Sus scrofa: one gene and its partner. Each later gene encodes a partner of the first gene's protein in a complex. Links are inferred from orthologs where the notes say so. Each region holds a gene or a part of one and is shown in the gene's direction. Other genes may lie near its edges.

Region 1 (4,325 bases):
GCACAGTCATAAACACACATTGTCATATACTGTCACTGACATACCGATGGTGGAGGGGCACCCATACGAGTCACACCCATACAAGTCAGGGACACACAGTGTTACAAACACATACCAACAGCTGGACACAACTACATAATGGAATCCCACATCAGAGACCACCCCAGATTGGCATTGTCAGTCAGACCTTTATACCACCGCTGAGACACAGAGTTTCACACACACACACACACACACACACACACACACACACACACACGAAGTCAGAGATTCATATAGGTACAGGCACACACTGGTAGACACAATCACACACAGATATGTAAAGGGCTATAACAGTCACATGTGTCTTGATGGTGGGACAATCATTTATCCACAAGTTGGGGACACATGGGGTGTCATAAACACAGTCATCTACCCACTAGTGTTCAGACATGCAATCACACACACATTATTGCATGGACCATCAAAGAAATGTTGACACACCTAATCCCAGCCCCTCAGAATTCTGGGACAAATTCCACATCCTTCCACACACACAGAATGACAGACACCCAGAAGCTGATACAATCACAAGTGCACATGCAGCTACTGACACGTGGACACACAAAGTCCCACATGTACCAATGTCCACACTGACACACGTGGGGACTATCCCTGACCTACCCTCATACAGCCACACACAAACGTACACACCTTTGTTTGAGTTCTGAGAAACTACGAAAACCCATGAAAACATCCACACTCTATCGCAATCTCACACACACATACGCACACACACACAATTGTGAACATGCACACTACCCTACAGGATCCTCAACCGTCCAAGCGAGGGAGGTGGAATAAGGTATTAGTGTGAATCCCCCATAATAACAGTAGCAAACGCTTACATGGCTGTTCTGCATAGATTAACTCCATTATTCCATAAAACAAAGCCCAAAAAACAAACAAAACAAAAAACAAAAAACCTCTACGAGGTTATTATAATTGGCCATTTCAGAGGTGAGACTATTGAGGCACAGACAGGTTAAGCACTAGTCCAGACTCCAGGAGCTAGATTAGCAGTCCTTCTTCTTCCCTAACGTCAGCGCCGAATCAGCGCCTGGCACACAGTAAGCCTTCAAATGTTCGTTGAAAAAATGAGGGAATCCACATTACTTAGACCTTTAATATTTCATTCCCGTATTTCAGGTGGGCACTAGGACTGTCAGTTGAGTTCACCCGCTGCCTGAGTCCAATGTCCCAGCTCCGAAACCGCACAGTCTCTCCTTCCCGAACCAAGCTCGCTCATTCGTGGGGAGTCCAGCTTGCCTCGTTAGGGGAGGGGCCTGACTCACCACGAGGCGGGGCCAAGGTCGCTGCGCCTTTTTATTGGTGCTCCTTTCTTCGAGGCGGGACCTCTCTTAAACTGGCGCTGTTGATTTGCCGGCTCCCTGGTGGCCCGTGACCCAGAAGATCTTCGTGCAACATGGCGGCGCCCAGGGGCAAGACATAACCGGCCCGGATTCCGCGGCCGTCCGCGTGAATAGGTAGGTCCCACGCGGGGAGGCAAGCGTGAATTTATGAGCCCTGGGGCAGCCCCTTTGGGGCCAGCAGCGCGGAAGGGCGGCCCCAGGAGGATCCCGGCTGCCGGGGCCAGGGCACCGTGACCTTTTCGGGTACACGGCGGGACGTTCCGAGGAGAGCTGCCTTCTGTGTACCCGCCTCCCCACATCCCTAATCTCTAATCTTGGAGATGAGACAGCTGAGGCTCAGAAAAGTTAAAGCCGTCTCCCAAGGTCACGCCACAGGTTGGCAGCTAGGCTAAAGTTCGCTTCTTTCTCCCAAGGGCGTCAAAATCCTAGCAGCCAGCCTCAGAGCTGCTGTAGGTACACCCTGCCTAGGGGTTCAGATTTATAGAAGCTTTGTAGAAATTTAGCTCTTCTTATTCATTTGATATTTGTTGGGTACCTACTATATAGCAGGCACTATCCCAGGTGCAAAAGAGACAGCAAAAAGGAAGACAGACAAAAATCTCTGGTCTCAGGAGAGCTAGACGTTGAACAAATCAGAAGTAAATGAAACGTGACTTCAGATGCTAATTGCTAAAAATTCATTCATCAGGATGATGGGGCTTTAGATTGGGAATGGGGCAGTAGTCAGGGAAGGCGTCTCATTTGAATATAGACCTGAATAACCAGGCACAGCAATGAACTGACCTGGGGAAGGAATTTCCAAACAGGGAAAAGCAACCTCAGAGGCTCTGAGACTAGATAAAGTCAGCTTGTTTAAGAAACAGCGTAATGGGAGAGTTCCCTGTTGGTCTAGTGGTTAGGATTCAGAGCTTTCACCTCTGCAGCCTGAGTTCAACCCCTGATCTGGGAACTGAGATCCCACAACAAGCTGCTGCACACTGCAGCCAAAAATAAATAAAAATTAAATAAAATTTAAAAGAGAAATAAATGGTGTAGCTGGAGCTTCCAGTAATAACAGTTGAGTTTGGAGGGATGGAGCCTGTCTGATTTTTATCTCATGTGATGTGCAATTAGTGACTTTAGCCGGAGAACACTTTAGTTTACATTTTAAAAAAGCTCCCTATGACCACTTTAGGGAGAACTGGCTGGAGGCAGGTAAGGAAAGGAGTGTGGGTAGATGAAGAGAGGTCATGGACTGGAGTTGTGGCTTGCAGATGGAGAGAAATGGGATTGTTTGAGGTGGATCTGGATGTAGCAACATGAGCAGCTGATGAATTGGTTGGGGAAGTGAGGAACACAGTGGACTCAGAACCAGGTTTGTGGTTGATTGACTAGGAATGATGGTGTAATGACATCAGGCAAGGATGAGATGGAACAAGTTTAAGCAGGGGCATAAGTTAGGCGCAAAATAAGTTTGAGATGGCTAGGTATACACCAAAGTGGCAGTTAGGTATGGAAGCTGGAGCTCAGGGATGGTGATAACCATTGGGAACTATCAGCACATAGATCTTCATTTCTCAGACTTTAACACACATAAGAGAAATGTGGACTTTTGTTTAAATGCAGATTCTGCTTCAATAGGTCAGGGTTAGGGCTGAGATTCTGCATCCAAATAATGATGCCAATACAGCTGCTCCCTGAATAGCAAAGGTTTAGATTAAGGTCTAATCTCAGCTGGATGTTAGAGTCATTGGAGTGCTTTAAATGCTGATGCCTGGGCCCTACCTCTAGATATTCTGATACAATATATCTGGGGTATGGCCTGGGCATGTGATTCTTTAAAGCTTCCTAGATAATGCTGAAATGAACAAGGTTTGAGAACTATGAGAGCTGCCTACAGAAATACAGAGAGAACACCTCTCTTGGAAGCTGAATGATACCTTACGGTAGCAGACAGACAAGTTCAAAGTGTAGGACTCTTTGCAGCATTATTACTCAAAAGACAGCATTAAGCATCACATAGAAGTTTGTTAGATTAAAAAAGTCTTTGGCTCCACCCTAAACATTCTGAATCAGAACCTGCATTTTAACAATATTCTCAGCAATTCATCTGCACATTCAAGTCTGCAAGCACTGCACACTTTAGAGAAGGAAGCCAGTCTTTCTGATTGGCTGAGAAACAGGCCTGGGGGCTAGGAAGAAAATCAAGAGTGCCAAGGTGGGAGGAGGGCATCACCCATTCCAGATACTTCTGAGAAACTGAGCAAAATGAGGCCAGAGAAATAACCACTGGCTTTGTTAAATGTAGAACGTGCAAGGGGTCTTTACAGGAGTGGTGTCAGTGGAGTGGCTGGGACAAGAGCCAAACTGGAGACAGTGAAGAAGTAACATGTAGACCCCTCTTGGGAAAAGCTGTACTATAAATAGAGCAGAGATGTGGAACAGAGGTGGAAGGAGATGCTAGAGAAAGTTTAAAGGGTGATATGAGTGATCCAAGTATGTACCAACTTATTTTATGAGGCCAGCATTACCCTGATACCAAACCAAACAGACACAATAAGAAACAAAAACTACATCCCAATATCCCTTACCAATATGGTTGCAAAAATCCTCAACAGAATACCAGCAAACCAATTTTGGCAACATAAAAAAAGATTATATACATCATGACCAAATGGAATTTATCCCAGAAATGCAATATTGGTTTAATATTTGAAAACCAATTAATGTAATGTACTTTTCTTTTTTGGTCTCTTTGGTCTTTTTAGGGCCACACCCGCAGCATATGGAGGTTCCCAGGCTAGGGGTTGAATTGGAGCTGTAGCCGCTGGCCTACGCCACAGCCACAGCAGTTCCAGATCTGAGCCAAATCTGTGACCTACACCACAGCTCACAGCAACACCAGATCCTTTACCCACTGAGCAAGGCCGAGGA
Region 2 (4,445 bases), on another chromosome or scaffold:
CCAGAGACTTGCACCAGATCTGCTGTGGGAAATCCAGATCACGTTTCACAGAGTCTCAGTTTCTTTATTTAAAATGAAATAACAACTATCCTACCTGGGATCAAAGAGGGAGAAAGGTCGACAGGGTCCAATGATATGTCAAAAGGCTTGGAAGTAAACCTAAGAGAGCACTCCGGCCAATGGGCCAATTAGAGCAGCAGTTTGTGTCCGTAATAAAGTTTTACTGGAACACAGCTGTGCTAGGTCCACATCTGGTCTATGGCTGCTTTTGGATTTAGGTTGAATAGTTACTACAGACCATATGGTCAGCAAACACGGAAGTATTTGCTATCTGGCCCTTTGCAAACAATGAACTGCTGACTTCGGCTCCAGGCCACTCTGAGTGTTTAACAACTTGCAAGTGTGCACTGATTACGGAGTCAAAAAGGGCCTGTGGAGAACTTACAACTGTGCATCATCAGTACATACAGAGCACCTGTGGCTCAGAAAAGTAAAATGATACATCTAAGGCCACACGCATTCAGTGAGGAATTCTGGAGCACACCAGTGCTACCACCCGACCCAAACGCAGCAGGGTAGAGAGAGACTGAGGCCATTTAGCGCCAGTCTCAAGTTCAAATGGCTGCTCTTCTAATGTGTGCAAAGGGTAGGTCAGGGTAAGCTTCATCACAACGGTTCATCTTGAGACCTATCCGTGCTCGTGGCAGCAAAATCTGGAAATGGAAAGCAAGTTTCCAGGAGTCCAAGAAGGTTCTCGGCAGGCAGCCTGTGGCAATCTAGGTTTCCTCTATCACCCCCTTCCACTGCAAGGCTAGAGCAGGGAGTGGCGGTGGCAGCGAATACTTACTGAGTATTATTGAGCACAGTCTACCGTATGTAAGATAACTTTCAAGAACTTAAATGATTTCATCCATTCATTCAAACATCACATGGAACAGGTAGACGCCCCATTTAAAGCCACAGATGCTGAGGCTCTGAGGTTAACTAACTTGCTCAAGTCACACAGCTGTCAAGCAGAGACTCTGCTAGGTCTGTTTGGCCTGGAAACCTATGTCTTTCATGTCAGGCTACAGGCGCAGACCACAGGTGATAGGTCTGAAGAGGGCACACAAGCTGGTAAACCCGGCTGATCCGGGATTCAAACCCAGGGGTGCTGATGAGAGTCCAGAACTGCGTTTTCCAATCAAAGTTCCTTGCTCTCAAGAGTTCCTAGCCTGTCCCTTCTCTCCGAGGACCCTGAAGTCTCGAAAAGCTGGTGAGAGCTTTCGTCTCATGACTCCAAGGAACCCAGAGTAAAGTTCAGCCCCTCCGTGGGAGGTAGGCGGTCCTTAGCCGCCCCAGGTCGCCTACCTGGACGGTCATTACACCCACCGGGGAGCCGTAGGGAGTTTTGCACCGCTTACCTGCCTGGGAGCGGTCAGAGTCCCGTCCACGTCGAAGAGGCAGAGCGCTGGGCCGGGAGCAGCCATGACCCCAGTTTCCACGTAAACCTTACACGACTTACTGGCACCTGGCACCCGGCCCGGAACTTCCGGGTCCGGCCCCCGTGCCGCAGGGCACGCCGGGAAGAGAATTCCCCTCCCGCAGTGCCCGAGACTAGCGTCGGCTTTGCTGGCTGGACTACAGATCCCAGAATGCAGCGCGCCCCCACGCTGTCCCATTAGGGCGGAGGACACGTTCTCGGAGATTCCCGGAACGCGAGGGACTCGCTTCCAGCTGCAGGCTGCGGGGCCATGGTAAGAAGGCAATTGGTGGCAAGAAAGGGAGGGGTCGTGCTTTGGGGGTCGGAGTCAGGCCCCGGGCAGGCCTGCGGACGCCTTAGGTTCTGATTCGGAGAATCCGGAGGAGGGACCTCCGACGTGGGTTCCCCGCCGTCCTATGCCCCCTAGGTCACGTGGGCCAACTAAAATTTAGCATTCACCGTGCATTACTGCATTTAAAGGCTTTAAAACTGTTACCTTCTTCAGTATGTTACGGATACCCACTTTGATAGAGAAACCAGGGCCCAGAGAGGTGGAGTAATTTGCCCAACGATCCACAGCCGGTGACTGTAGGAGCCAGGGTTGGAACCCAAAACTGGCTTCAAAGCTCAAAGCACCTTTCGGTGCAATATTCAAGGTGTAGAACTGTGCATCTAATAAAACCCTTGTGCTATGAGTTGACGCCTCCATCCCTTCCTCCTCCATTCTATCCCTTCCCTCAATCCAGGCCAAGAAAACAGCGTTTACGTTCTGCCCCCAAGATGACGCTTTTAACCTAACCGAGAATTCTACAGTTATTATGATGATTAGCTAGCGGATTTGTTCCCCACTGGGACACTGATTTAGTTTCCTGCTTGAGGAAGTGTTCACACAGGCCGTGGATCCGGTATCCAGCCAGAACCGGCCCTCCTTGGGTATGTGCTGAATGAATGAAGCCTGCGCCTACTTGAGCTGCCTGGAGGAAAGAGGTTGGGTTTGAAAGTTAGACTGCCCTACTCCCTGACTGTGTGTCTTTGGGTAAATTTCTCACCTTCTCTGGGCTTAGTTTCCTCAGTGGTAAAGTAGAAGCAGTGGTTCCTTTAGCACACAGCTTCCCTGACTATCACGTGAGGTAGAGGTAAAGCCTCTGATTTCAGCTTTCTTTCCATCTCTGGCAATCATGCTGACCTCACCAGGCTGGCAGGATCCTCTGTAGCAGATGTTTTGCATGTGGTCCTTGTGTGATTAGCTTGGCTGAGTTCCAGAGAGAAATGGTCTCCCTGTCTCCTTTCCAGGCTGCCCTGCTCCGAGCTGTGCTGTGGTCACCAAGGCAGGCTGCATGGGGAAGGCCTTTCCACAGGCTGTGGCGCTGCAGTGGGCAGGATCCTAGGAGGTGGGCGGGGAGCAGGCCTCTGCCATCCAAGAAGAACCCGCTGGGCACAGAGACTGAGAAATTTCAGATGGTGTACCGGTTTGATGCCATCAGGGTCTTCGGGTACCTCTCTCAGCTGAAGGTGGCACAGACAGCGTTGACAGTGGTGGCCCTGCCGCCTGGCATCTACTGGTACTCCCAGGGCCTCATGACCTTCAACTCCCTGTGCCTGGCAGGCGCAGTTGCCAGCTTCGCGCTGGCCATGTTGTGCTGGATGAGCCATTTCTTCCGGAGGCTGGTGGGCATCCTCTATGTGAATGAATCAGGCACGGTGCTGCGGGTGGCCCACCTGACCTTCTGGGGCCGGCGACAGGACACGTACTGCCCCGTGGCCGACGTGGTCCCCATGACAGAAAGCCACGATCGGCCTCAGGAGCTGTTTGTGCGGATCCGGCAGTACAGTGGGAAACAGACCTTCTATCTCACCCTACGCTACGGACGCATCCTGGACCGGGAGCGTTTCATGCAGGTGTTTGGGGCGCTGGACTCACTCAAGTGAAGGACTGGGAGCCAGGCCGCCTGGGTCTCCCGTAGGAAGGCTCAGGGAAGGGTGAGGCTGAAGTGGGGAAGTCAGGCAGCTGGAAACTGTCAGGACCCCAGGGACTTGTCTTCTGGAATTGAGAAATTCACAAGGTAGAAGCTAGCAACCAGGTTTAGGAAAGAGGCCCTGAGTGCAAATTCTTAACTGCACTTATGTATGACATTGACAACGGCCAGAAGTTTCTGTTAAGAGCCAGATCTTGGAGGAAGCTATGCCAGGCTCGTTCCAACAGTGCACTGCTGGGAAATCAAAGACAGAGAGGTGGGGGTGTGTCAGAAGACCTGGGTCCCTCCATTCTCAAATCCCTGTCCTGAGGCGGGTTATCAAGTCTCTCAGATTGTTCTCACATTTTGTAAAGTGGAAAAATCCTGTCTCCTGGGATGGGTGTGAAAATAAACGATATCACTTAGTGCAGAGTTGCTAGTGCTGCAAAAGGCTTCTATGCCTGTGCTGCGCCCCCTGGTGGCCCCAGATCCGAAGGGACTGGGATGAAGCCTGGAGGTGGGTCCTTGGCGCCAGCCCCTCAGGGCACAGGGTCTGGGGTGGGGGTGTCCTCCAAGCAAGTTCACATCCAGAGGTCTAGGGGCTCTCACATGGGCAGGCTCTGCAACGTGATAAAGTCAGATGAGTGATATGCTGGAGCCGTACTTTATAAACTAAAGCTAGCTATATGCAGTGCCCCTGGTAATTAGTAATATGTTTACTACATAATCTGTAACAAAGGGCAAGTCATGATCTTTATAATTCTGCCACTGAAAAGTCAAAAATCACTAGGATTTGTTTTGTGGCCTTCTAGTCTTTTTTAAGAACTGTAGTAAAACAAACATAAATGTATCCTTTCAACCATTTCAAAGTGTACAATAAGTGATATTAAGTACATTTACAGGGAGTTCCCGTCGTGGTGCAGTGGTTAACGAATCCCACTAGGAACCATGAGGTTTCGTGTTCGATCCCTGGCCTCGCTCAGTGGGTTAAGGATCTGGCGTTGCCGTGAGCTGTGGTGTAGGTCGCA

Evidence for each region.
Region 2: ECSIT (region 1) and TMEM186 share a complex: the UniProt entries of both Homo sapiens proteins name them as parts of the mitochondrial complex. The link is inferred for Sus scrofa from reciprocal best matches to the Homo sapiens genes ECSIT and TMEM186.

The regions. Positions count from the first base shown.
Region 1 is NC_010444.4:70,167,814-70,172,138, reverse strand, and holds the start of ECSIT (evolutionarily conserved signaling intermediate in Toll pathway, mitochondrial), read left to right. Parts: upstream 1-1,376; 5' UTR 1,377-1,526; intron 1,527-4,325.
Region 2 is NC_010445.4:33,890,914-33,895,358, forward strand, and holds the start of TMEM186 (transmembrane protein 186), read left to right. Parts: upstream 1-1,601; 5' UTR 1,602-1,733; coding exon 1,734-1,736; intron 1,737-1,766; exon of another isoform or gene 1,767-2,395; intron 2,396-2,755; coding exon 2,756-3,391; 3' UTR 3,392-4,445. Other genes in the region: PMM2 (phosphomannomutase 2), read right to left, coding at 1,404-1,469. UniProt on the Homo sapiens protein: As part of the MCIA complex, required for efficient assembly of the mitochondrial complex I.